7 linked regions of the Zea mays genome follow. The protein of the gene in region 4 binds, or shares a complex with, the protein of the main gene of each other region. Links are inferred from orthologs where the notes say so. Each region holds a gene or a part of one and is shown on either strand. Other genes may lie near its edges.

Region 1 (2,921 bases), on a different chromosome or scaffold from region 4:
CGATATGGTGGCTCATAACTGGCTGAGGTACTTATCAGCAATCCCGCGTGCGGCGTGGAAGTTAAAATTTACTAGATCGGAGGGCACAGCCAGAGGGACATTTGAGAGTTACCAAGTCGAGGGACACACAGCACGCAGACATGAGAGCGAGACAGGGATATTCTTGCACAGAGGAATGGAAATGGAACAGACATAGGACGAGTATTCGAGCAGTAAATAAAAGCAAGGGCGACGCACTTGTCGGACGTCTCGGTGCGGTACGTGCGGTCGCCGAGAGAGAGGCACGCGAAGAACTTGTCCTTGAACTGCATATCCGCCTGCGCCCGGAAACCGAACAGGAGGATCAACCATGGCGAGTCAAAGTCAGAGTCAGAGAGGCAGAGACAGTGATGCGATACGAATCGAAACCCACGGATTCCGCCTCGGCTGGCCGCGTCGAAGCGGGGAGCGAGACTCGGTGCTAAGGAACATGCGCGTAGCAGCGGAGTTCGCAGCGCGCGGCCCACGTACCTTGGCTATCCGGACGCGTGCGATGCCGGCGAACTCGTCGGCGGCGAGGGCCTTGGAGGAGACCGAGTCGTCGCCGGCGCCGCGGCGCAGGCGGTTGCGCAGGCGGCGGCGGAACCGCGCGAAGCGCGAGGGCAGCGCCTCGCCGGCGCCGGCGCAGGCAGTGGGCCGCGACGCCGAGTGGCCCATCCGGACAGGTTGGTGGGGACTGGGGACGAAGACGGACGGGACGGCGCGGCGCGGCGCGGCGCGCCTTTTGCGGGACGGTGGTGGGCGCGGCGTCAGACAGACAGACAGACGCCTAGGCAGATGGTGGTTGGAAATGGGCCAAAAGTAGAGTCCCTTTTGAATCCAGGCCAACCGCCTGCCTGCCTGCCTGCCCGCGCACGCCGGTTCGTCGCCCGGCCGCGGGCCCCATCGCCACTTTGATAACTCGGTGGACCCACACGTCAGAGGGGTTTTGGAAGGTGTGTAAGGATGGAAGTCAAACCTGTGTTGATGGCGCTGGTGGGACCGGACAAGGAAGATCCACCTGCGTGCGCTGCGCACTGGGGGGGCGCCTGCCTGGCTCTTGGATCCACCCATTTCCCATCGTCGTCTTCTTTTTCTGAATGGGAATCTCCACTTCTTGGTGGTGGCAGGTCATGACAGCAGCCAAAGTAGATGATGATTCCCCCCCCCCCCTCTCTCTCTCTTGCGCTTGCAATGGGAAGCAAATGGCCAACCAATAGCAAAAAGGCAGCCGTGTATCGATCGCCTTATCCGGGTCCTGTGGCACTGGCACACCGCGCGTCCGGATTTGGCTGAGTAGCTGACTAGCTGAGCGAGCAATCCATCCCTTCGCCCGCCGCACCATGGAAGCCCTCGCCTCGGCGCCTCGGGCGCTCTTCCCGCGCGCGTGCCCAGTGGCGACGCCGGCCGGCCCAGCCCGGCGCCGCTCCGCCGCTCCTCACATCTGCAGGGCCTCCGCGGCGGCCGGGGAGGAGACGACGCCGCCGCCGCCGCCGGCGGCCGCTCCCAAGAAGATCCTCAAGAAGAAGCCCGTCTACTCGAGTAAGACGACGACAAGACCCCCCCCCCCCCCCCCCCCACCCCCCCCTACTTCTCCCTCTAGCTCTCGCGCGCGCGGCCATGCATGCATGATGAAACTGGCTGAGCTTTGCAGTGAAGAAAGGGCAGATTGTGCGCGTGGACAAGGAGAAGTACCTGAACAGCATCAATTATCTGTCAGTGGGACACCCGCCCTTCTACAAGGGGCTGGACTACATATACCAAGACCGCGGCGAGGTCTTGGATATCAGGAACTTCGAAACAGGAGAATACGCCCTGGTAATGAAAACTACTTCCATCCGCGCATGCTGTGTTCAGAGTTTCGTCATGCTTTCTGCCTCCACCATACATGTTCAGAGTTTCAGACCAACGCGCGCGTGCATGCATTTCAGATCGCTTGGGTGGGGATCCCGACGCCACCGGCATGGCTACCAACCTACATGCTCATCAAGGTAGCTGATTCATCCCCAGTTGGATCAATCTGTACGTCATGCACCACTCGTCTCACCTCGCTCTCGCTCTCTGTCTCTGTGGCATGTGATTTGTTGCATTGCAGTCGGACAAGCTCGACTACGAGAGGATATGATGGCCGGCCGGCGGCCTCGCAGGGCACCGTAGCGCCGCCGCCGAATTCATGCTTCATTTCGCATCAGGAGTCGGCCAAGCAGGACACACCTCTTGTTGTTGACTTGTTGTAGGTATATACGTACATGCCAGTATTGCCAGAACAGTCGACAGAGGCAATCTGAGACCTCAGCTGCTGGAATAATCAGGAAGTAGATCGAGAGCGACGTACGATGACGAGATTCATAATTGCTGCTGCACATCACTTCTTTATGTTATTTAAACTCACATTTCATAATTAATACTAATAATATATTGTCTCCGTTCTTGAATATTTGTCTCGTCGATAGTTTATTTTCGAATAAAAAACGACAAAATAAAAAAATGATAGTGTACCGATTATGAAGCAGCCACAAACAAAGGTTTATAATATACCTTTCCAGCATTTATATTATGGGTCAAAGTGTATCATCACGCACACGCCTCTGTCTACACTCCGCAGCTAGCCACTGCTGAAATAAACAATGTACAATTAGTCAGGGAGGGAAACAAGGTTGAGCCATCTTTAGATAATCTCTAAGACCGTGTCAACCAACTCCCCTATCTCATCTCATATCACATCCCTTATTTCAGACTTTACTCTATAAACAATGATAAATATTGTTATTTACAGTATCATGTCCTCTATTTTAGGGGATCCACTGAAGACAGTCTAAGTTAGTGTTTAGAATGGCTCGATGCCAAGAAACGACTTTGTTCGAAAAAAATAGGGAGTTGGATGGTTCAAGATTTGATCATAT
Region 2 (3,132 bases), on a different chromosome or scaffold from region 4:
AAATTGCTCCAAGCCAAGCACGCTTAACTTGGAGGTTCTTTCAAGATAGGCTTCCGAAAAAGAATATGCACCTTGTTGGTATGATTACACTATTAATTCTATTAAGCCTTGGGCCAGGACATCCCATCCCAGGGGCCAGGATATCACAATCCACCCCCCTTAGAAGACCGACGTCCTCGTCGGTCAACCCCAATCCAGGAACCTCCCCTCTTGGCCACGTCTGTATGTCTAGTGTCGTCATATGCCATGCCATGTGACCACTCCGGGCCCAGATGCGCCATGCGCCATATACCCGAACCCCCTAGCCCACACACGCCCGTGAAACCGCGAGGGTCGGCTCTGATACCACTTGTAACACCCCGTCCAATCCCTGGACCGGCGGTACTTACTCCTGGCAGCTCTCTAGGATCATATATTGTCCCCACATACCAACACAAGTCTTTTGTGCGCACTTTGTCCTCACTCATGCGCACCCGAGAAAACTTCCCGGTCGGTCACCCATCCCAAATTGCTCCAAGCCAAGCACGCTTAACTTGGAGGTTCTTTCAAGATATGCTTCCGAAAAAGAATATGCACCTTGTTGGTATGATTACACTATTAATTCTATTAAGCCTTGGGCCAGGACATCCCATCCCAGGGGCCAGGATATCACAATTTGTTCGGTTATTTTCAATCTATAGATTGGAAGAGATTGATACGTATTGAGAGAGATTTTGACTTACTAAGGATTGAAACCCTTTAATCACCTTCAATTTATATGGATTGGCATAGAAGGGAAGACCCCTCTCCCTCCCTTTCAACTACACTAGTTACCAATGGCACAAATCTCGTAGCATCTGCAGTGGCTACCAATGGCACAAATCATGTCTTGTATCGGGCGACAAAACCGCTAGTCACAAGAGTGCTGAGGCCAAAGCTGAGAGACTGGAGACGGCAGTAACGAAGATCCAAGCATTGTTGCCGTTTCAAGAAGACCTCTCCCTGATGATACCGTGGAACGCAAACCTGATGCGCGTTATCATGGGAGGCGACACCCAAAATCCTGAATTACAAAAACATTATTAATTTAATCACAGTTAAAAATTACAACAAGGGGATGTAGCTCAAATGGTAGAGCGCTCGCTTTGCATGCGAGAGGTACGGGGTTCGATCCCCCGCATCTCCAAACTGTTTTTTACCCCCCTTGTTTTATTTTTTTTACCTCTTCTCCCTCATTGTCACTTGGTCAGTACTCAGTACTACTCAGGATAACTGTGCGGACGAATTCGATTGCGTACCGTCTAAACTGACAGCGCAAGTGTTCGTGCGGCGGGAAAATTTCTGCAGTTTCATTTCTCGTTCGGAATATGGTTACCGTTCCTTTTTCTTTTTGTACATGTGGCCATTGGCTAAGTGAACAGCGACACCTCATCGCCTCGCCCTCCTACCACGACAACTGGAACGTGCGAGCCTCATCACCTCCCGACTCCCCTCCACGCCTTGGAATGCTGCCTGCGCAGACGCTAACACACACGTTTCCCATGGCAGCGTCCACGGCCTCGCGCATCTTCACGCCCTTCCTCCACCGGCACCAGCGGCGCACGAAGGCAGTCGTGGTCGCAGCCGCGAGCCCGCCCGACGCCGAACCGACTCCTGCGACGGCGGACGGTGCAGGGCCGGGGAAGAAGAAGACGGTGGACACCAGGATACACTGGTCCAACCCCGACGAAGGGTGGGTAGGAGGCAAGGCCAAGAAGGAAGGCGACGGCCGCGGCAGCAGCAAGAACGAGCCGTTGGGAGGGAGGTTCGCGGACCTCATCAACAACGCGGCCGAGTCTCACTACCAGTTGAGTTCATCTCCAATCCATGCTCATATGTCCTTTTGGATTGCCGTCCAGCTGTACATAAATTTGTAGAGCTCTGTTCGAGACACTGTCATCATCATGTCAATACTTTGTTACTAACGGCGACACATGACTGAACTGCAAAATCTATCACCCAGGTTCCTTGGCATAGCGCCAGAGGCGGACATCGAGGAGATCAAGACGGCGTACCGGCGGCTGTCCAAGGAGTACCACCCGGACACGACGACGCTGCCGCTCAAGGTGGCGTCGCAGAAGTTCATCCGCCTGCGAGAGGTGTACAACGTGCTGAGCAAGGAGGAGACACGGCGGTTCTACGACTGGACACTGGCGCAGGAGGCCGAGAGCCGCCGCCTGCAGCAGCTCAGGTCCAGGCTCGAGGACCCATACGAGCAGGACATCATCAACTACAAACCCGTGCCAGACATGGTTGACCGCCTCGGCGGCAAGAACATGAAGCTTAGCGATCAGGCCATGACTGCGCTCACCATCGATATCGTTATCATCATCATCTCCATCTGCTGCATCATCTATGCTGTTTTCTTCAAGGAGCAGTACTGACAGCAGCATACCAGCAACAGCAGCAAGGTTGCAGGAGTGTACCATAGACAGAACATTATAGGTAAATTAACTGATAATGCCCTAAGATTGTCTTTTGGGATGTTATCATGCACTGCATCATGTAATGTCCAATAGAATAAGGTAGGAACGACGATTATTCATGGTTTGTTGCCAACAATCCTATATTTGCATAATCAAATCATAATTCCAGTATAAATCTGTGACATCATAATTTATTGCGTCAAATCAAAAGACAATCTGAAAAGAGGGCAAAATTCCCTAACAAGATATCTTGTGCTCTTGCTGTACTCTACTTGGAACTTGGTTAAATAAGTGAGATGGAACTGGAGGTAATCTCCCATGCGATACATGAAACTACAGCATGGGTTGTAGGTATCAATCATCTAATGCCTAACCTTCACACTCAATGATCTTGACAACAGAAGAATCACCAATCTTTTCAAAGATTATCAACCTGTCGAAAGGCTTCACTATGCCAACCGACCGACCATAGCTCATCGCAAGTTTTATCCCATACTCTTCCTTTGTTAGCCCACCAGTTTCGGCCTATTACAGAGTTTTAAGCATTCATGGTTAGCCATATGTTTTTTTACATGTAACTCTAATGTTAGGGAAAAATACAATTGCTTACATACCTCATCAGTACTCCCCATCAAAGGGTACACGCCTCTCACTGCGAAACATTGTCTTGCCTGAAAGTGGTTTAATA
Region 3 (3,272 bases), on a different chromosome or scaffold from region 4:
TTTTGGATAGAAAATTAGAAGATAGGGGAAGAATCTGAAGAAGGCTCCTCGAAGAAACTTCTTTACCTCCCATCCACATGTGGTGTTCTAGTTTCTGATATGCGTTTTTTTTTTGGGTTAATTCATTCATCTTATGTTCGTTGCTTCTGTGTGAGGGGAAAGCACTTCCTCGCTCTACTCGTGCGGAAGCGATCCATTCTTTCGTGTCCAACTCACACGTCAAGAATATCGAAATGTGGACCCTTTTCAGCGCGCTCTTTAATTCAGCTTACCTGAGCATCAATGGTGAAGGAAGAATGCAAGCTCATTGACCAAGGTGGCAATGATGTCGCCGATCCACAACGCGATGGAGACGAGGACAGTGATCTCGTGTGCCTGCGCTCTCGTGTTCGGCTGTGCGCCTGGGTTCTGAGAATCCTAAACGCGTCGCGGCCGTGAACTATTCACATGTATGGAAATCTGTACATGGTTCGCATTCTTTCTCTTCTGACACTCGTGCCAAAAAAATGTATGTATATCTTTATTAATTGCCTCTCTCATTCAGTGCAAAGCTGCAGGAATGGCAGGGAGAGATGTCCCAGAAGCAATTGGAGAGTGTAGCAGTAGCAGTAGCCAGTCTGGTAGACAACTAGCTAGACCTGCTTGCTTGATCATTCCTCCGCGTCCGGGTCCGGCTCGAGGCCTGCGATCTGCTTCAGTGGCTTCCAAACAAAGCTTCTCCTGCACGCGTGCAACAGGGCCACACGTACGTAATCAGGCCTTAGCCACAAGTGGTCCCGTGTGGGAAATTTAGACATGGAGGGAGGTAGAAGGAAGCGCATGTACCAGTTGCCGCATTCTGCGATCACCCTGACTTTGGGGCGGATGTCCGGGAGCATGGCCAGGAACTGCAGCTCAGCCTTGGACAGAACCTGCACGTAGACCAGACGAGAGGCCCGAAGAAGAGGTTCAGGAACAGAGCACTCGTCAGTGGTGTGCCGATCGATGGAGGCGCGTGCATGTAGATGTAAGCAGGCACCTCACCTTGGCTTCGATGATCCAGACGACGAGGCCTTTGGCGTCCGGGTGCAGCAGGCTGAGCCTGTAGTCCACCTCCGGCGGGAAGTACCACCGCGCCACCGGCTGCCTGCCGAGGCTAGGCTGCAGTCACCGCACCGCCACTCCAATCGAGTCAGTTCGTCGATCGACCGCTCGGTTCCCGCACGCGACGAAAGGACACGGCACAGCCACAGCAGCAACAACAAGCAAAGAAAGAGAGAAGGGAACGTATGTCGTGCTCACGTGATGTCCGTGCTCATGTGAGCACTTTAAATCGTGAGTGTTCTTTCTTAATCCAACGATTAGTGCTTTTTATTCACTTAAGTCCTCTCACCTTAACGATGAGTGTTCCTGGCCAGCAGCATGATCGTTAGATTAAGAAGGAACACTCACGATTTAAAGTGCTCACATGAGCACGGACGTCGCGTGAGCACGAGATACGTTCCCAAGAAACTAAAGGCGTGCTACGTACCGGGCAGACGGGGTGGACCTTGGTGAGCGTGGTCTCCGGGTCGCCGAGCCCCCGCGCGGAGAGGTCGAGGAAGTAGTAGCCCTGGTAACGGAGGCGGTTCAGGTAGCGGCCCTCGTAGCCGCCCTCGTGCGGCGGGTAGATGGCCAGCGCCTTGTGCTTCTCCACGTCGTCCAGCCACTTGCCCAGGTCCGGCCGCACCAGGTCGCCGCCCACGAAGTCCCACACCGTGCTGCGCACCGACACCGACCCCCGGCCGCCCCGCGACCCGCCGCGCCGGCCGCTGAGGAGCGAAGGCGCCGGGACTGGGGACACGGACACCGCGCGCGCCGCCGCCGCCGTTGCTGCCGACCACATGGTGCTGCTGCCTGCGGCCGTGCGTGTGGGTGGGTGGGAGTGGAAGTGGGACTGTGGGAGGAGTCGCTTGATTGCTTTTGAGCCTGTGGCGGGAAGATGGCTTGCGCTGAAGCTGAAGTGGGGAGGAGGGGTCGCGGATAAGTCTCCAATCCAGGCCGTAGGTTGGTCTGTCAGCCGAACTGCCCAAGACTGAAAGAGCAGAGTACATGTGTTACCACTTACCAATCTGTATTCAGATTCTACTCAGAGATCGCACACAGTACGGATACGTGAATTTTCTTTAGATCCAAACAAAATATTAAAATGCATTAAAAGTTACATAGATCATTAATCCTGTTAAGGCCTATTTTAGAAACTTTAGTTTATTCAGACCCGCCAATTCTGAAGGTGATTTGTGTTTCCAAAGTCTAAACTGTCCCAAAAGAATGTCATCAACTGGAAACCCACGTAAATGCATTTGTTTTAGAACGGAGGGAGTAAAATTTCGGTGTGGATCACGTTGACTTCAGAAGTTATTTGAAAAATTAAAATATAAAGAACTTAAATAAATATTTAGGCATATAACGATTTGAGGACACCAGCTTAAAAAACCTTTTAAATTAAACAGTTAGTAAAGTAGGTCACGCGCTCTTTTTGCTTTTTTTAAAGAAAGATGGATGTTGTGCATCATTTGTTGGGATGGTCGTGCTTAGTCTGTCCCAGCAGGGTTCCAAAATTTTATCCACTAAGATAATATTTCTAGTCTTTCACATCACCATTTAAAAGATTCTATCATGTATATTTTTCATGCCTTCAGCAGCAGCAACCTCTAAATTTTATCATCTATATCTCATCATCTATTTTTTTCCAGCCATATTAATGAGAAAAAATTCAAACGATATTTTTTCCATTCACCAATTGTGTACTCCCTCCGGTCCTGAAAAAGATGTCGTTTTAGACAAGGTTTGAGTGAAACATATAAAACTTTGACTATAAATAATAGTTTTGAAATCTAATATATATATACATATATATATATCTTAAAAATCACTTTTACAAAAGTATAAATATATTAAGAGTTTATTTGTATTTACAAAAATATTGGTCAAAGCTATATTTTGAAGACCGTGTTTATGTTCTAAATGACTAGCTTCTGTTGCATCGGACACTGGTCACTAGAAAAACAATCCTCTTTTAGTTTGTTCCTTATCCGCCACTAGGCAAGGCTATAGAGGAAGTTCGCGGTGGTGACAACATAAGAGGAAAAAGATGGCGCGCATGACAGGACGGTCGTGGAGACCAGTGGCGAACGCAGGATAAAATTATAGGTGGAGCAACATTATAAAAGCTAAATCACTAGATTAGATCACAACTCACAAGATAAAACTAGTTTTATGATGACAATATGGAGGATAAGTAATAATACTAG
Region 4 (2,877 bases):
CGGAGGGGACTCGAAGACACTGATGTTTGTGAATCTGTCTCCTGAAGCGTCCTCGACAGGGGAGTCTCTTTGCTCATTGCGGTTTGCTGCAAGGGTGAACTCCTGTGAGATCGGGATCCCCAGGCGCCAAACCCAGATGCGGAGCTCACAATGATGAAATACGGCGGAAGCGAGCTGCCAGTGTAATGCTTGTGTGTGTGTTGATTTGGTGATGCAACCGATCATTTGCATCCCCTTGTCTGGAGGTGGTGTGAGTTGCCAATTTTATTTGGTTTGTGGCCTTGTTGATTGCGCTAACGGCTGGCAGCGGTGGGTGTGCTGGCCTATTATATTAATCTTAGGACCTGATCTGATTTGTATGTTGGGATGTGTTGCCATTTTCAATTTTTTTGCTTTCATTCGTAGTCTTGATTTGTCGTTTGCCCAATGCCCAATGCCTCTGAGCTGAGCTGGGCGTGTATGTAAACAACTGTGTACCCGTTGTCGGACACGCACACAGCCTGACATGATAATTGTATTTCCCTGCTCTGGGAATTCTGCAATACCCCTTGTGAGTTTCAAGTATTCATTTACACATCATGATATATGAATGAAAAATTGTGGTTCTGCTAGGCCATCTTGGCCATGAGCTCCTGGAGGATGAGCTTTGTCTCGGCGTAGCGGTCGCCGATCCTGGCGTCGTCCTTGGCTGTGACGGCCTCCTGGAGCGTCTCGAAGCTGTCGAAGAGGCGGTTGGCGAGGTCGACGAAGGGCGGCTTGTCTTCGGCGGCGGAGATGAGCTTGTCGAAGTCGTAGTACATGAAGGTGGACTTGAGGCGGAGGTACTTGTTGACGTAGTTGGAGGCGTCCTTGCCCAGCAGGTCCTCCAGCGCCAGCAGGTCGAAGGCCGTGCTGCGCAGCCGGTACGCGTGCGCCGCGAAGCTGGGCCCGATGTCCGCCATGTAGATGCCGTTCTTGAGGAAGGAGCGCGTGCCCGTCTCCGCGTTGTTGATCTCCTCTGCCATGCCACTCATCGCCGACACAATTGTCAGTGAACCAAGTAAAGTTAAGTGGTGGATGGAGCAGGACGGACGGGACGGCTTACTGTTGACGATCTTGGGCACGGGCAAGGGGAACTCGGTCAGCCACCAGCCGTTGTTGGCCGGCTCGTCGTCGGTTTCGGCGGCGGAGGCGGCACGTGGGCGGAGCAGGACGGCGCACGCGATGCCGAGGAGGCAGGCTGACCTCCTGGACGGGGACGACGGCTGCTGGGAGGAGGCGGCGGCTTGGCACGTCACGTGCAGCGTCGGTCGGCTCGGCCGGAGTAGACGGAGGCTGCCACCGGAGAAGGCATGGCGGCAGCTTGCAGTCGTCGTGGTGGCTGCCGGCGGTGCGTTGAGATAAGTGGCCATGGGGACGGAGAGACGAGTGGATAGCGCGGGCGGGGCGGCACTCGCTAACGCATGAGATCGTAGCCGATAGAAATATCAGAAAAAAGTAAAAGGAAGAAAGCGGCTGCTGGCCGTTCCGACATCCTTCCGTTCCTGATGAGGTTTGCAGTTGAAGATGAATTTGGCCTGGCCTGTAATTTTTGGTACGATTCAAATCTGGATCACTCCTCCACTACTGAGTACTCACTCACTCCCTCAGCCACCACCGCCCCACCAGCCATCAACCACCACCAAACCAAGGAAGGCCACGAGACACAGGCACACAGGACGAGCAGCCAGAGCCGCCAGCCATGCGGGGCGGCTGCTACGTGGGCAAGGCCACCAAGATCTTCCTCGCCCTCCTGGCCGCCCTCGCCGTCGTCGGCGTCGTCCTCGCCTTCCGCGCCGTCCTCCACCGCGCCGCCAAGTCCAGCCCCGCCTCCGCATCGTCCGCGTGCGCCGCCGCCGACGCGTGCCAGCCCGTCCTGCCCGACACGGACCCCGCATACCGCTCGCCCGCCACGGCCGCCCGCCCGCCGCCCACGCCCACGCCCGCGCAAGATCCCGCCTTTCCCTCCCCGGACGCCGCCGCCTGGCCGCCGCCGCCCTCACGGCCGACGGCTGTGCCCGACACCCCTCTGTCGCCGCCGCCGCCGCCGGTGCCCGTGCTCCAACCTCCCGAGCAGCAGCTGCCCGCGCCGGCATTCCAGTCACCGCCGCCGCCGGTGCCCGTGCTCCCACCTCCCGAGCAGCAGCTGCCCCCGCCGGCATTCCCGTCACCACCGCCGCCGCTGGCGGAGATCGCGTCGCCACCGCCGCCGGACCAGCTGCTGCCGTCACCTCCACCACCTGCGTTGCCGTCGCCTGATGCGCCGCCGCCCGCCCCAGAGGCGCCCAGCCCAACGGCGTCTTGACTCAATCGTAGTCGTAGATGCCGACTGCTTCAGTCTCAGAGCAGGGCAATAGCTGTGGATTTGGTAGAGGAGTTTAGCCGCCGCCGTCTGCTGATGTACTGTTTCTTCAGTTTATCCTATAATTAATCCATCTCTAATTCAGGTGCAATTTTGTTGAATTCTTCAGTGTCGCCGCCGTCAGGATCCCACAGAATCAGCCTGCGCGCGCGCGCGTTTCTCTTGTCAAAAATTAAAAAATAAAACAAAAAAACCTAATCTCTGCTGTTCTCTTTACAGTTTGTTGTACTGTGCAGAATCTGCATTCTTTCCTAAGAATTCTCTAGCGTTTCGCGGCGAAATTCAGTGTGTAGCAGTACTAGGAATCACTGCCCTTTCACCTCTGCATGTCGGCTGGATTAACATGAATTGACCATGGACTTGCTGTTGACCACCTTGGGCCGTTGGAGAGAGATTCCCCAGCTCCTGCAGCGGCTCCACAGATCTACCCTCCACTCTGCATCTATCGAGCCGAGCACAAGACAGCGGTGCTTCTCTCTAAACGTGAATACAATTGC
Region 5 (3,238 bases), on a different chromosome or scaffold from region 4:
GACTCTAGGCAGTCAGCTCTTCAGAACATCCAGGTGAAACAAACATCAGTGGGATGTGTAGTCTAGAAGAAAAGCTAGTTCTCTCCTCCTCAGGGCAGTAGACCAGCCTTGTTCTCTTTCGGAATTCGGGAAAAAAAAGAAGAGCCCGTCTTCATAGCGAGCCAGCTGCATCCCAAGTGTAAAAAAAAAAGAGAGGAAACAGCTGCGAGGCTTACCCTTTTTTTCTCCCCAGTTTTGTTACCCTGATGGTTCCTTCCTAATTCTCCCTTTTCTGCACATGTTTTTAGGGGAATTAATGACATTTTCCTTTTGTTGAATAATAATAAGAATGGGTGGGTGGTGGCAAACCAGCGGCTCTTGATTGTTCAGCGCATCAGTCTTGCATGTGTTTTTTTTTCTCTTCCCTTCAAAGTATTGGAGAAAACATGAAAACAAAGGCAATTCATGCAGAAAGTTGAAGCAACAGTCTGCAGAACATGTCGTGTATTATATGGCACGAGGATAGAACAGATTTTCAGGCTCTCCAGTCTTACAGGAAGGATGGCTTTCCTTTTTATTCAAGAGATTTTCCTAGCAGCTACAGCTTCCTTTCACAGGGTTTTTTTTGCTGTGAGGCAACAATCTGAAGGGCAGCGAGCGGTGTACGCAATGCATCTAGGTCGACTTGACGATGTCGTCCCTGGTGTTGACGGTGAAGTCCCAGAGCTCGCCGTACTTCTCGTTGAAGTCCCAGATGTCCATGGAGTTGTAGTCGGCGATGAGCTTGTCGCGGGCCGACCTCTCCATCATGTAGATCTCCGGCTCGAAGTTGTGCGGCTTGTCGGGCTTGCCCATCTCGATGACGCAGAACACCACGATGAAGACGGCCGCCCCGATGTACAGGTACTCCCCCTGGCGACACAAGCAGACGCGTCTCCGATCCGATCAGTAGATGCAGGTGACGAGTTTTTTTTTTTTTTTTTTTTGGGGCACAAATGCTTGGAGCGCAGGAATTTCACAGGAAACAATTCACTTTCCCGACAGAAAGCACAATTCACTTCCGACCAGGAAACTTCGTGTTCCAAACAGGGGACTAGGTACTGGGAGGAGGAAGTGCTGGATCCTTACCGGCACATTGAAAGCCATGCCGAGGATGATCGCAGGAGGAAATGCCCAGGAGATGAGTGCTGCAAGAGATCGCCGCCATTGATGCAGTGCAACAAATGAGCAAGGCAGAAGCATAAAGATCTGAAAGAGCTACACAGTAGTGGTAGTACCTTGAAAGCCCTGAGGAGGCTCAGCTTCTTGGTACCACTCGGAGACATCCTCCCAGAAGCCCTTCTTGTCTTGGGAAGAAAAGCGGGGGGTGTTGCGGTTGTTTGCAGGTTTTTGTTTCACCACAGCACAAAACAATCAGTGGACTATTATTTCTTTTTCTTTTTGCAATGAAGGATATCATATCATGAACAATGGAGTTCTTATTTTTTTCTGGGAGGATAGTAATACCTTGGCCTTCGAAATAGGTGTGGTGTCCGTCATACTTCCCGTACTCGAAGTCCTCCTGCAAGACAAGACAAGACAAGACAGATCCTCTCCAGTGTCATCCACGAACGAACGAACGAAACGTACTCCGTTCTTCAGAGCTCTCGTTCATAGCACAACCTACGTCAAGGTTCACTGCTTTCCTGCGTGTTCCTAGTCTAACTAACTAAGCGCGGAACGACAACCGAGAAGAGAAGAGAAGAAAAGGAAGGAAACGAGGGACGACGACGACGGACCGGGCTGATGCCGTTGGTGCGGTACACGTCGATGGCGTCCTCCTCCAGGTCCGGCTCGATCTCCGACAGCGGCCCAGGCCCGGCCCTCACCACCACCGCGCCGCCGCCCGGCCTCCTCCCGACACTCGAACGCCGGCGGCCGGCGTGCAGCAGCTGTGGCCGCGCCGCCGCCTTCACCCTCAGCTGCTGCGGCGCTGCGTCATGGCGGCGCCGAGCGGTGCTGGGCGCTGCAGATGGCGAGGCAGAGATGCCGGAGGACAGGCTGCTCATTATCTCGCCGCGGTGCTGCGATCGCTGCTGAGTGGTGACTGGTGAGTGCTCCAGCCCCCGCTGCTGGCTGCTGCTGCACTTCACGTTGCGGCCAAGAGACAAAAAAGCAAGCGGATAATGGTGCGCTGGAGTTGGACACCTACCGTCCAGGATTTTTCCGCTGTCTTTTCCTGTCCCTTTTTTCGTTTCTGGAAATAATCAGCTCATAAAAACTCGGTACGATTCTGTGGAACTGAACACCTACGGACGTCCCACAGTAACCCCTCCCCCCGCCAAAAAAAATCGTGATTCTGTGCGCTATATTTGTAAGAAACTGTCGCATGTGCTTTGGTCAACGGACACCAACAAAACAAGTGAGAACTCACTCTTTGTAGGATTATCTGTAACCCTGTCCTTTAAATTTTTCCATGTATATGGAGTGGTTCTTTCTAAATTCTCTCATACACTACACAACGATTTTTTTATAGCGACCTATGGTTGGTTGCTAGAACGTCTTCATCAACCTAGGGTTTAGGGTTTAGATATACACAGTTAATTAGTAGTACAATGGTGCTATGTTTACAAATAAATATACAGTACTAATTTGCATGTAAAGCTCTAACTGAATTCTTACCAAGCATCAATGGACACTAGAACATTTGGCGGCCTTGGGGTGCCCTCGAGATTGCGATGTCACAAGAAGACCCGCACATGACATTGTTACAGATCAGATCCTTAAGCCTAGTAATCAACAAACCAGTTTCTTAAATTAGTATTATACAAAAAAAATGCAATTGCTCCCAGTTCTTTTGGTATCAAGACAACATAGTCCCCCATCTTCATAGTAAGAGAAAAAAAGGCTAGCATCACTGCATCAATAAACTGCCCATGCATTTTTTTTTACTGTAATCGAACGATGAGTAAAGCTCTGACATCACCAGTACTCTACTCGTGAACGCCTCGAAGCCCTGCCTCTGTCCTTACCAGTTGGCGGAGAGTCAATGTGACTCAACTTCAGTCTGGAAGGTGAAAATAAAGCAACAAGACACAAATAAAATGAAATCACGTTGCTGCACTGAAAATACAGAGATGATTTCGTGCATAATCTCTCATACCGAACGTAGCAGAGCTGTCGTGGTACTCAACGGGTGGAGTAGCAGAGCTGTCGTGCTGTGGCATGCTGTTGGCGAAGACGAGAAGAACCAGACAACAACTCTGTGCGGATGGATAGC
Region 6 (2,705 bases), on a different chromosome or scaffold from region 4:
AAAATGAACATCTTTCCATTATATGGCTCAGACCGACACATCTTTGCATCGAGTGGTTAAGCATCGGATAAGAAACTTTAGCACAAATCCTCTTCATATAAACCAAACATACACATTGTAGACTTGTTAACCAGATCCATACCATCCTGCCTTCTGTAACTCAGTTCCAGAAGTGCTCAAGTGATCAACAATCGAAGCAAAAGAACACTGAAGATAAACCTTGATGCCAGTTAAAACCGAATGAAAAGTAATGATTTAACAACACGGCGACATAGTGGCTAAATTGACAATTTGATCTGCTCTAACCAGTTTCATGCAAGAAAACATGTTCTAGCTAAATTGGCATCCTAATCCTACTTGATAACCATTACAGCTACAAAATTTTAAGTGCATAATATGGCCATAACATACAGATCTCAGAGAACTGAAAGTCTTGTGGCATCCTCATTGTTATCATAATTAGAAGTTAATAATCCAAGAGAAGCCATCCAGGTCAAATGTGATCAAACGTATGGCAATTCTTCCATGCCCCAATTCACACTAACATTCAAACTATATACTTCATAATAAGAGTTATATTATCGTTCCTTTTTAATTAGCTCCAAATATTTTATTTGAGCTGTATACATGCATACATACAGAGGATGTGTATAACAGGAACAAGAAGCCTGGTCATGTCGCCGCCGCCGCCGCGCCCTCCGGTTCCTTCTTCTTGGCCGCTTCGTCCTCCTTATCATCATCGTCATCCTCGAGCTCCGCGACAAGATCCTCTAGCACCACGGACTTGGGGTTGGCCATAGGGGGTCCCTTCTCCCTGCCCTCGAGCTCGTCGAGGTTGAAGGTGATGAGCCTGTCCCACACTCCTCCCTCGAAGAGCACCGCGACCTTGCCGTCGCTGACGCGCTGCACGATACCGCAGTACATGTGGTAGGCGTTGTTGGGGTTCTTGACCAGCACCACCATGCCGGGCAAGAACAGCGGCAGCTCCGGCGGCCGCGGCGGCGCGGAGAGCGTGGCTTGGGGCTGGGATTCTGATTTCTTGGGAGGAGGCGGGTTCTTGGCTACGAAGTCCTTGAGGCCGACCTCACCGCCAGGGAAGCCGCCTGTGAGGCCCATCATCTCCTTCTCGAACGCGTCCGGATCAACCGCGGGCGGAGGAGAATCTGTCGAAGGAGGAGGAGAGGGCGCGGGCGAGGAGGTGGTGGAGCCGGATGCGAGTTCTTTGCGGACGCCGACCTCACCATTGCAGAGGCCCCGACCGCCGAGTATTTCGGCGACGCGGAAAGAGGCGGAGGGAGGTCGCAAAAGGAGGCGAGGGTGCGGGTGGTGTGGCAGCGGCGGCGGGCGGAGGAATGAGGGGCTGGTGGGTGGCGGCGCCATCGGAGGAGTGGAGATGAGCGCCCGCGAGCGAAGCAGAACAGACAAAGTCGGGAAGCTGTGGATGAGTTTGTACAGAGTGAAAAAGAAAAAAGTTGTGGATGAGTGGCGGTGGAAAACGGAGAGGGGATGAGGCGTCAGCGCCACGTGGCCCTGCCGCTATGTTGTGTGTGGCGGTACTGAACCTGAATCGAGGGGGTTGACGTAACCGACAGAAGTTTTTCTGTCCTGTTTTTTATTATTAGGGTTAGTATGGAAACTTTATTATTAGATTAGATTAAAAATAAACTAATTTTATTTGAGAAAATAAATTTTTGGAAAAAAAATAAGTTTTTCAAACTAGCTCCTACATGAGAAAAAAGGTTTTCCGATCATATTTACACATGCATATCGAACTCTGTATTGGAGAGACTGAAACAGGTTATTTTAATTTAAAATAATTAAAGCATCTTCGAGAGCTCTTTAAAAACTACTTAGTAAACCAATAATAATTATATTAAATAAATAAAATACTGGTAAATGTACTCGTGCATTGAAATAGAAGAAAAACTATTAAATATATTCACACAAAATGAGGATGTGAAATGCTATGTGCGTATTTATATTTTCCCTTTTCCGCAAAGTTTAATGTGGCTCGTTTATTTTATGACTAGTCAATGTTTTTGCGTTTACGACGACAGCTTTTAGGACGAGACGATGTATCATTGCTATCTTCTGTATACATACTCACTTTCATATACAAATCCGTAGCTTACGTCATGGTCGCGATAATAGTATCGCTCGCTACGCCTGCGCTTCAGCTCTCTCACCATCTCATCTTTCTCGACAAGTCACTGTTCGTGGCAGCTCCGGCTCCGCTCAATTTCCACTTTGTCCTCTCTAAGACTGTCTTCAGCGGTTACCCCTAAATTTGGCCCCCTATATCTCACTCACGTGTCACGTCAGCGTTCTCTTTCCCCCTATATCTTAACCCTGTACAGCGGTTCCCCCTAAATTTTTCCCCTACACCCCACTACAACCATAAAATATCATTTTTTATACCTTCTTTTTATCTCCTATCAATTTTTCATTTACTAATAATTGGAAGTAGGCCCACGTAAACAGTGTTAGAGGGGGTGAGAGATGCACGACAGAATGAGGGGGAGAAAGAAACTTGCTAGGGGGAACGGCAGCGTAGGGTGCTTGATAGAGTTAACCATTGAACGTTTTAGGGTGCTCCTGTAGCCGCTATCGTAGGGGAGGGGGCCTTCCGGCGGTAAGCGGTGAACACAGTCTAAGCCAGTGTCTGTCCCTCCCCTTCCTTCTCTCCCTTCCATATTCTAATCCTT
Region 7 (3,016 bases), on a different chromosome or scaffold from region 4:
GACGAAGTACTCAGCAGCAGCATAGCATGGTGGTGTTCCCTAATTTTAATTATTTAGGGCTAGTTTGGGAACCCAATTTCCTAAGGGATTTCTATTTTTCCAAGGGAAATTAGTTCATTTTCCCATGGAAAAATAGAAATCCCTTAGAAAATTGAGGTTCCCAAACTAGCCCTTACTGTATCTTTATGCTTCTGTAGAACATTGAGCTAGAAGACCAATTCAGACCATGGAGCGATGAATTTAAAAAGTACCGAGTTGTCATGGAATGTTTGTAGAGGGTTTACCCATACTAGCCATTACTCCATCCAGTTCAGAAAGTCGTTTGGTAAGTTAGCGCGGTCGTCTCTGTGCAACTCTCTGACCTCATGTGGTATTCGGTGATACGTATCTATTAGCAGAAACTATGGTATTGTGTACTGTAACCCAATTCGAGTGCCCTAGAAACAGAAGGGGTATCTAAACTCGAGCAAACCCTTATTTTGCCCAGACTCTCGTTATGTGGTTATTACTGTGCAGGGGTGACAAAATTCTGCCAACAGAATCGGTGTATGGCTTTGCATCTGCGTAATATGAATTCTGGAATGCTCTGGATCGTATCTGGGACTGCAGAGTATACATCTTGCTCGGTAATCGAATGGAGAGAAACCATTCTTTTAAGGGCGTTGGATAAGTACATTCTATATCTTTTCTGGTATCTGGTTGCTGTTGAACTTGATGCGAGGCTTGCCCATGCTGAAATTGAGGACTCTGGACCTCATGTTGTACTTGATCACCCCGTCGTACAGCAGTTTGCGGATGTAGTGCTCAAGGTCTGACCCGATCAACCGAAGTGTGTACTCCGACAGCTCAGCCCCCTGTTTCAAAGCAGAAACGAGCTCAGCTATCCTCTTACCGATCACTTCTTTTGCCAAGACCGTATGTTTTATTTTTTTGGCAGGAGTGGCTCTAAAGTAGATGAAAAGGGGGGAAATGACCGTACGAATTTCAGACAACAAGAGATTCAATTCAAATTTTTTTTATCTACTATCGGAGCTGTTGGAGTGGGAGCAACTACAGAGGTTACCTCGTAGTGATCGACGAGGTCCTGGAACTCGTTGAAGACCATCTGGCAGGCCTCGTCGGTCCAGGCGAACTCGTCCTGGGGGTCGAGCATGAGCGTCAGCTTGTCCATCTGCGTCTGGTCGAACGCGTTGGTCACCGGGTCGATGTACGCAGCGTAGATGCGGACGTGCCGCGTGGTGCTGCTCAGCCACTGCCCGCCGTACTCGCGGCTCATGTTCTTGCTCTCCGCCAAAGGCTGCCGCGGCAGGGACTGCGCGTCCCCCTTCCTCGCCTGCTTCTCCGCGTCCTGTGGCGGCGGCACGCTCGCCACCTCGGCCTCCTCCTCCTTCACCTGCTGCTCTTGCTGCGCTCGCGCCGGAGGGACCCTGACGCTGATACGTCCCGCCGTTTTGGGGCTAGCGAACCGACGCCCCTGCAGCGGCAGCTTGGCCGGGGGTAGAAACGCCGTGGTCGCCATGTTTGTGGTGGCCTCTCGCCTGCTTCTTCGCCTGTGCTTTGGCTAGTGCTGGATTTTTGTCGTTCCGCGCGTGCAGCAGCTTAGCCACAAGCGGAGAGCGTGGCTTGTGTCGCGTACTTTTTTGTGTGTGTGGATAAGGGCCGTTTCTGCCACTGACTTCGGTTTCGGTTTGCACTTTTGCACAGCGCACCATTGGGCCAAGCAGGCTTCCAGACTCATTGGGCTCTGAACGCTGGTGCGGCGGTTGCCTTGCGATTTCGGGGTACGCGGTTTGTCGTCAGTCTCGCACAGAGTACTGAAGAGCACCAGCTTTCATCGCCATTGCACAAGCATTACGCACAACACTACGTAAATTCAGCTTGGAAGACGCCTAACCCGGCAATCTCCGAACCTGTACATACACATTACACTACGTACGGACACTTGCAACATATGTACAATAGCGTGCAGAACTGCCTGTTATTACAGTATTGTTACAGCTCACAAATCTAATCACACGAATCAAATAATCGTGCTAAGCAACCAATGAGCAAGCACCACGAACTAGCCATGCAAGTTCGTTTCCACCGGCAGCAGCAGCGTATTTGGAAGAAGGCCGGTGCTGCCTGCATCTGCGAGGGGTATCACGGGGAGCTTCTCGCAGTCGCAGACCTCGACCACATTGCCGTCTGGGTCGCGGAAGAAGAGCTGCTCCACCACCGTCTCGCCGTCTCACACCCGCGCCGCCACGAACTCCAGCTCCATGTCACCCAGCCTCGTCTTCATGAGCCCCATGTCCGTGCACTGCACGCCATTGCCAAACGAGCACACCCGATCAGCGGGTGCTTACTGGTTACTGCTACTACTAAGTACTCGTACTAACTAAGCAGGTCAACTCTGCGCGAGAGCAAGGATCCTCTCTGCTTGGATTGGACTAAATTTGGCTGCCTATCCAGTTTCTTAATTCTGCGAGAGCGCTCTGGTGGTCACCTGAAAGGAAATGTGGTTGCCCTTGGGGTTGATCGCCGGCGGTCTTGCAGCTGCCGGAGCGTTGGGCGACGAATCCGAGCCGCGCTGCAGTAGATATATCCCCATGCCGTACCTGTGCATCCTGGAAAGCACGCAACGAGTTGACCTCACCTTGGCGAAAATAATAATAATAATAATAATAATAATAATAATAATAATAATAATAATAATAATAATAATAATAATAATAATAATAATAATAATAATAATAATAATAATAATAATAATAATAATAATAAATCGATGGACAAGAAACAGGCACTAGCTAGGCAGTGGTATATATGTAGTGCGAAATGGCTGCTCACCATGCTCCTCCGAAGTCGAGGGACGCCGGGCGTTTGACGAGCTCGAAGCCAAGCACGCGCTGGTAGAAGCCGACCGATGCTTCCACGGACTCGCACTGGAACGAGACGTGGTTCAGGCGGACGAGGGGGAGGGCGGGAGCAGGGCCATGCGCGTCATAGCTGCGCGCATCCTTCTCGTGGAAAT

Evidence for each region.
Region 1: oxygen evolving enhancer protein 3 containing protein (region 4) and NAD(P)H-quinone oxidoreductase subunit O, chloroplastic share a complex: the UniProt entries of both Arabidopsis thaliana proteins name them as parts of the chloroplast NDH complex. The link is inferred for Zea mays from reciprocal best matches to the Arabidopsis thaliana genes PnsL3 and NdhO.
Region 2: oxygen evolving enhancer protein 3 containing protein (region 4) and NAD(P)H-quinone oxidoreductase subunit T, chloroplastic share a complex: the UniProt entries of both Arabidopsis thaliana proteins name them as parts of the chloroplast NDH complex. The link is inferred for Zea mays from reciprocal best matches to the Arabidopsis thaliana genes PnsL3 and NdhT.
Region 3: oxygen evolving enhancer protein 3 containing protein (region 4) and NAD(P)H-quinone oxidoreductase subunit N, chloroplastic share a complex: the UniProt entries of both Arabidopsis thaliana proteins name them as parts of the chloroplast NDH complex. The link is inferred for Zea mays from reciprocal best matches to the Arabidopsis thaliana genes PnsL3 and NdhN.
Region 5: oxygen evolving enhancer protein 3 containing protein (region 4) and Photosynthetic NDH subunit of subcomplex B 5, chloroplastic-like share a complex: the UniProt entries of both Arabidopsis thaliana proteins name them as parts of the chloroplast NDH complex. The link is inferred for Zea mays from reciprocal best matches to the Arabidopsis thaliana genes PnsL3 and PnsB5.
Region 6: oxygen evolving enhancer protein 3 containing protein (region 4) and NAD(P)H-quinone oxidoreductase subunit S, chloroplastic-like share a complex: the UniProt entries of both Arabidopsis thaliana proteins name them as parts of the chloroplast NDH complex. The link is inferred for Zea mays from reciprocal best matches to the Arabidopsis thaliana genes PnsL3 and NdhS.
Region 7: oxygen evolving enhancer protein 3 containing protein (region 4) and NAD(P)H-quinone oxidoreductase subunit M, chloroplastic share a complex: the UniProt entries of both Arabidopsis thaliana proteins name them as parts of the chloroplast NDH complex. The link is inferred for Zea mays from reciprocal best matches to the Arabidopsis thaliana genes PnsL3 and NdhM.

The regions. Positions count from the first base shown.
Region 1 is NC_050103.1:163,552,443-163,555,363, reverse strand, and holds NAD(P)H-quinone oxidoreductase subunit O, chloroplastic, read left to right. Parts: upstream 1-1,209; 5' UTR 1,210-1,361; coding exon 1,362-1,560; intron 1,561-1,672; coding exon 1,673-1,836; intron 1,837-1,949; coding exon 1,950-2,009; intron 2,010-2,113; coding exon 2,114-2,143; 3' UTR 2,144-2,421; downstream 2,422-2,921. Other genes in the region: Phosphatidylserine decarboxylase proenzyme 2, read right to left, coding at 238-317, 511-696. UniProt on the Arabidopsis thaliana protein: NDH shuttles electrons from NAD(P)H:plastoquinone, via FMN and iron-sulfur (Fe-S) centers, to quinones in the photosynthetic chain and possibly in a chloroplast respiratory chain.
Region 2 is NC_050099.1:14,035,810-14,038,941, forward strand, and holds NAD(P)H-quinone oxidoreductase subunit T, chloroplastic, read left to right. Parts: upstream 1-1,373; 5' UTR 1,374-1,484; coding exon 1,485-1,825; intron 1,826-1,981; coding exon 1,982-2,402; 3' UTR 2,403-2,632; downstream 2,633-3,132. Other genes in the region: Pyruvate kinase 1, cytosolic, read right to left, coding at 2,814-2,969, 3,059-3,115. UniProt on the Arabidopsis thaliana protein: NDH shuttles electrons from NAD(P)H:plastoquinone, via FMN and iron-sulfur (Fe-S) centers, to quinones in the photosynthetic chain and possibly in a chloroplast respiratory chain.
Region 3 is NC_050098.1:176,087,766-176,091,037, reverse strand, and holds NAD(P)H-quinone oxidoreductase subunit N, chloroplastic, read right to left. Parts: upstream 1,932-3,272; 5' UTR 1,865-1,931; coding exon 1,511-1,864; intron 1,141-1,510; coding exon 1,024-1,140; intron 912-1,023; coding exon 826-911; intron 721-825; coding exon 651-720; 3' UTR 501-650; downstream 1-500. UniProt on the Arabidopsis thaliana protein: NDH shuttles electrons from NAD(P)H:plastoquinone, via FMN and iron-sulfur (Fe-S) centers, to quinones in the photosynthetic chain and possibly in a chloroplast respiratory chain.
Region 4 is NC_050102.1:1,245,645-1,248,521, reverse strand, and holds oxygen evolving enhancer protein 3 containing protein, read right to left. Parts: upstream 1,489-2,877; 5' UTR 1,392-1,488; coding exon 1,085-1,391; intron 998-1,084; coding exon 609-997; 3' UTR 501-608; downstream 1-500. Other genes in the region: kinesin-related protein11, read left to right, coding at 1-154; vegetative cell wall protein gp1, read left to right, coding at 1,721-2,323. UniProt on the Arabidopsis thaliana protein: NDH shuttles electrons from NAD(P)H:plastoquinone, via FMN and iron-sulfur (Fe-S) centers, to quinones in the photosynthetic chain and possibly in a chloroplast respiratory chain.
Region 5 is NC_050098.1:158,250,019-158,253,256, forward strand, and holds Photosynthetic NDH subunit of subcomplex B 5, chloroplastic-like, read right to left. Parts: upstream 2,071-3,238; 5' UTR 2,028-2,070; coding exon 1,758-2,027; intron 1,541-1,757; coding exon 1,486-1,540; intron 1,326-1,485; coding exon 1,257-1,325; intron 1,167-1,256; coding exon 1,108-1,166; intron 892-1,107; coding exon 655-891; 3' UTR 501-654; downstream 1-500. Other genes in the region: putative transmembrane protein kinase family protein, read left to right, coding at 1-37. UniProt on the Arabidopsis thaliana protein: NDH shuttles electrons from NAD(P)H:plastoquinone, via FMN and iron-sulfur (Fe-S) centers, to quinones in the photosynthetic chain and possibly in a chloroplast respiratory chain.
Region 6 is NC_050100.1:42,420,517-42,423,221, reverse strand, and holds NAD(P)H-quinone oxidoreductase subunit S, chloroplastic-like, read right to left. Parts: upstream 1,422-2,705; 5' UTR 1,381-1,421; coding exon 673-1,380; 3' UTR 501-672; downstream 1-500. UniProt on the Arabidopsis thaliana protein: NDH shuttles electrons from NAD(P)H:plastoquinone, via FMN and iron-sulfur (Fe-S) centers, to quinones in the photosynthetic chain and possibly in a chloroplast respiratory chain.
Region 7 is NC_050097.1:23,630,826-23,633,841, forward strand, and holds NAD(P)H-quinone oxidoreductase subunit M, chloroplastic, read right to left. Parts: upstream 1,688-3,016; 5' UTR 1,520-1,687; coding exon 1,064-1,519; intron 855-1,063; coding exon 678-854; 3' UTR 501-677; downstream 1-500. Other genes in the region: uncharacterized LOC100502247, read left to right, coding at 198-275; uncharacterized protein, read right to left, coding at 2,231-2,302, 2,489-2,609, 2,833-3,016. UniProt on the Arabidopsis thaliana protein: NDH shuttles electrons from NAD(P)H:plastoquinone, via FMN and iron-sulfur (Fe-S) centers, to quinones in the photosynthetic chain and possibly in a chloroplast respiratory chain.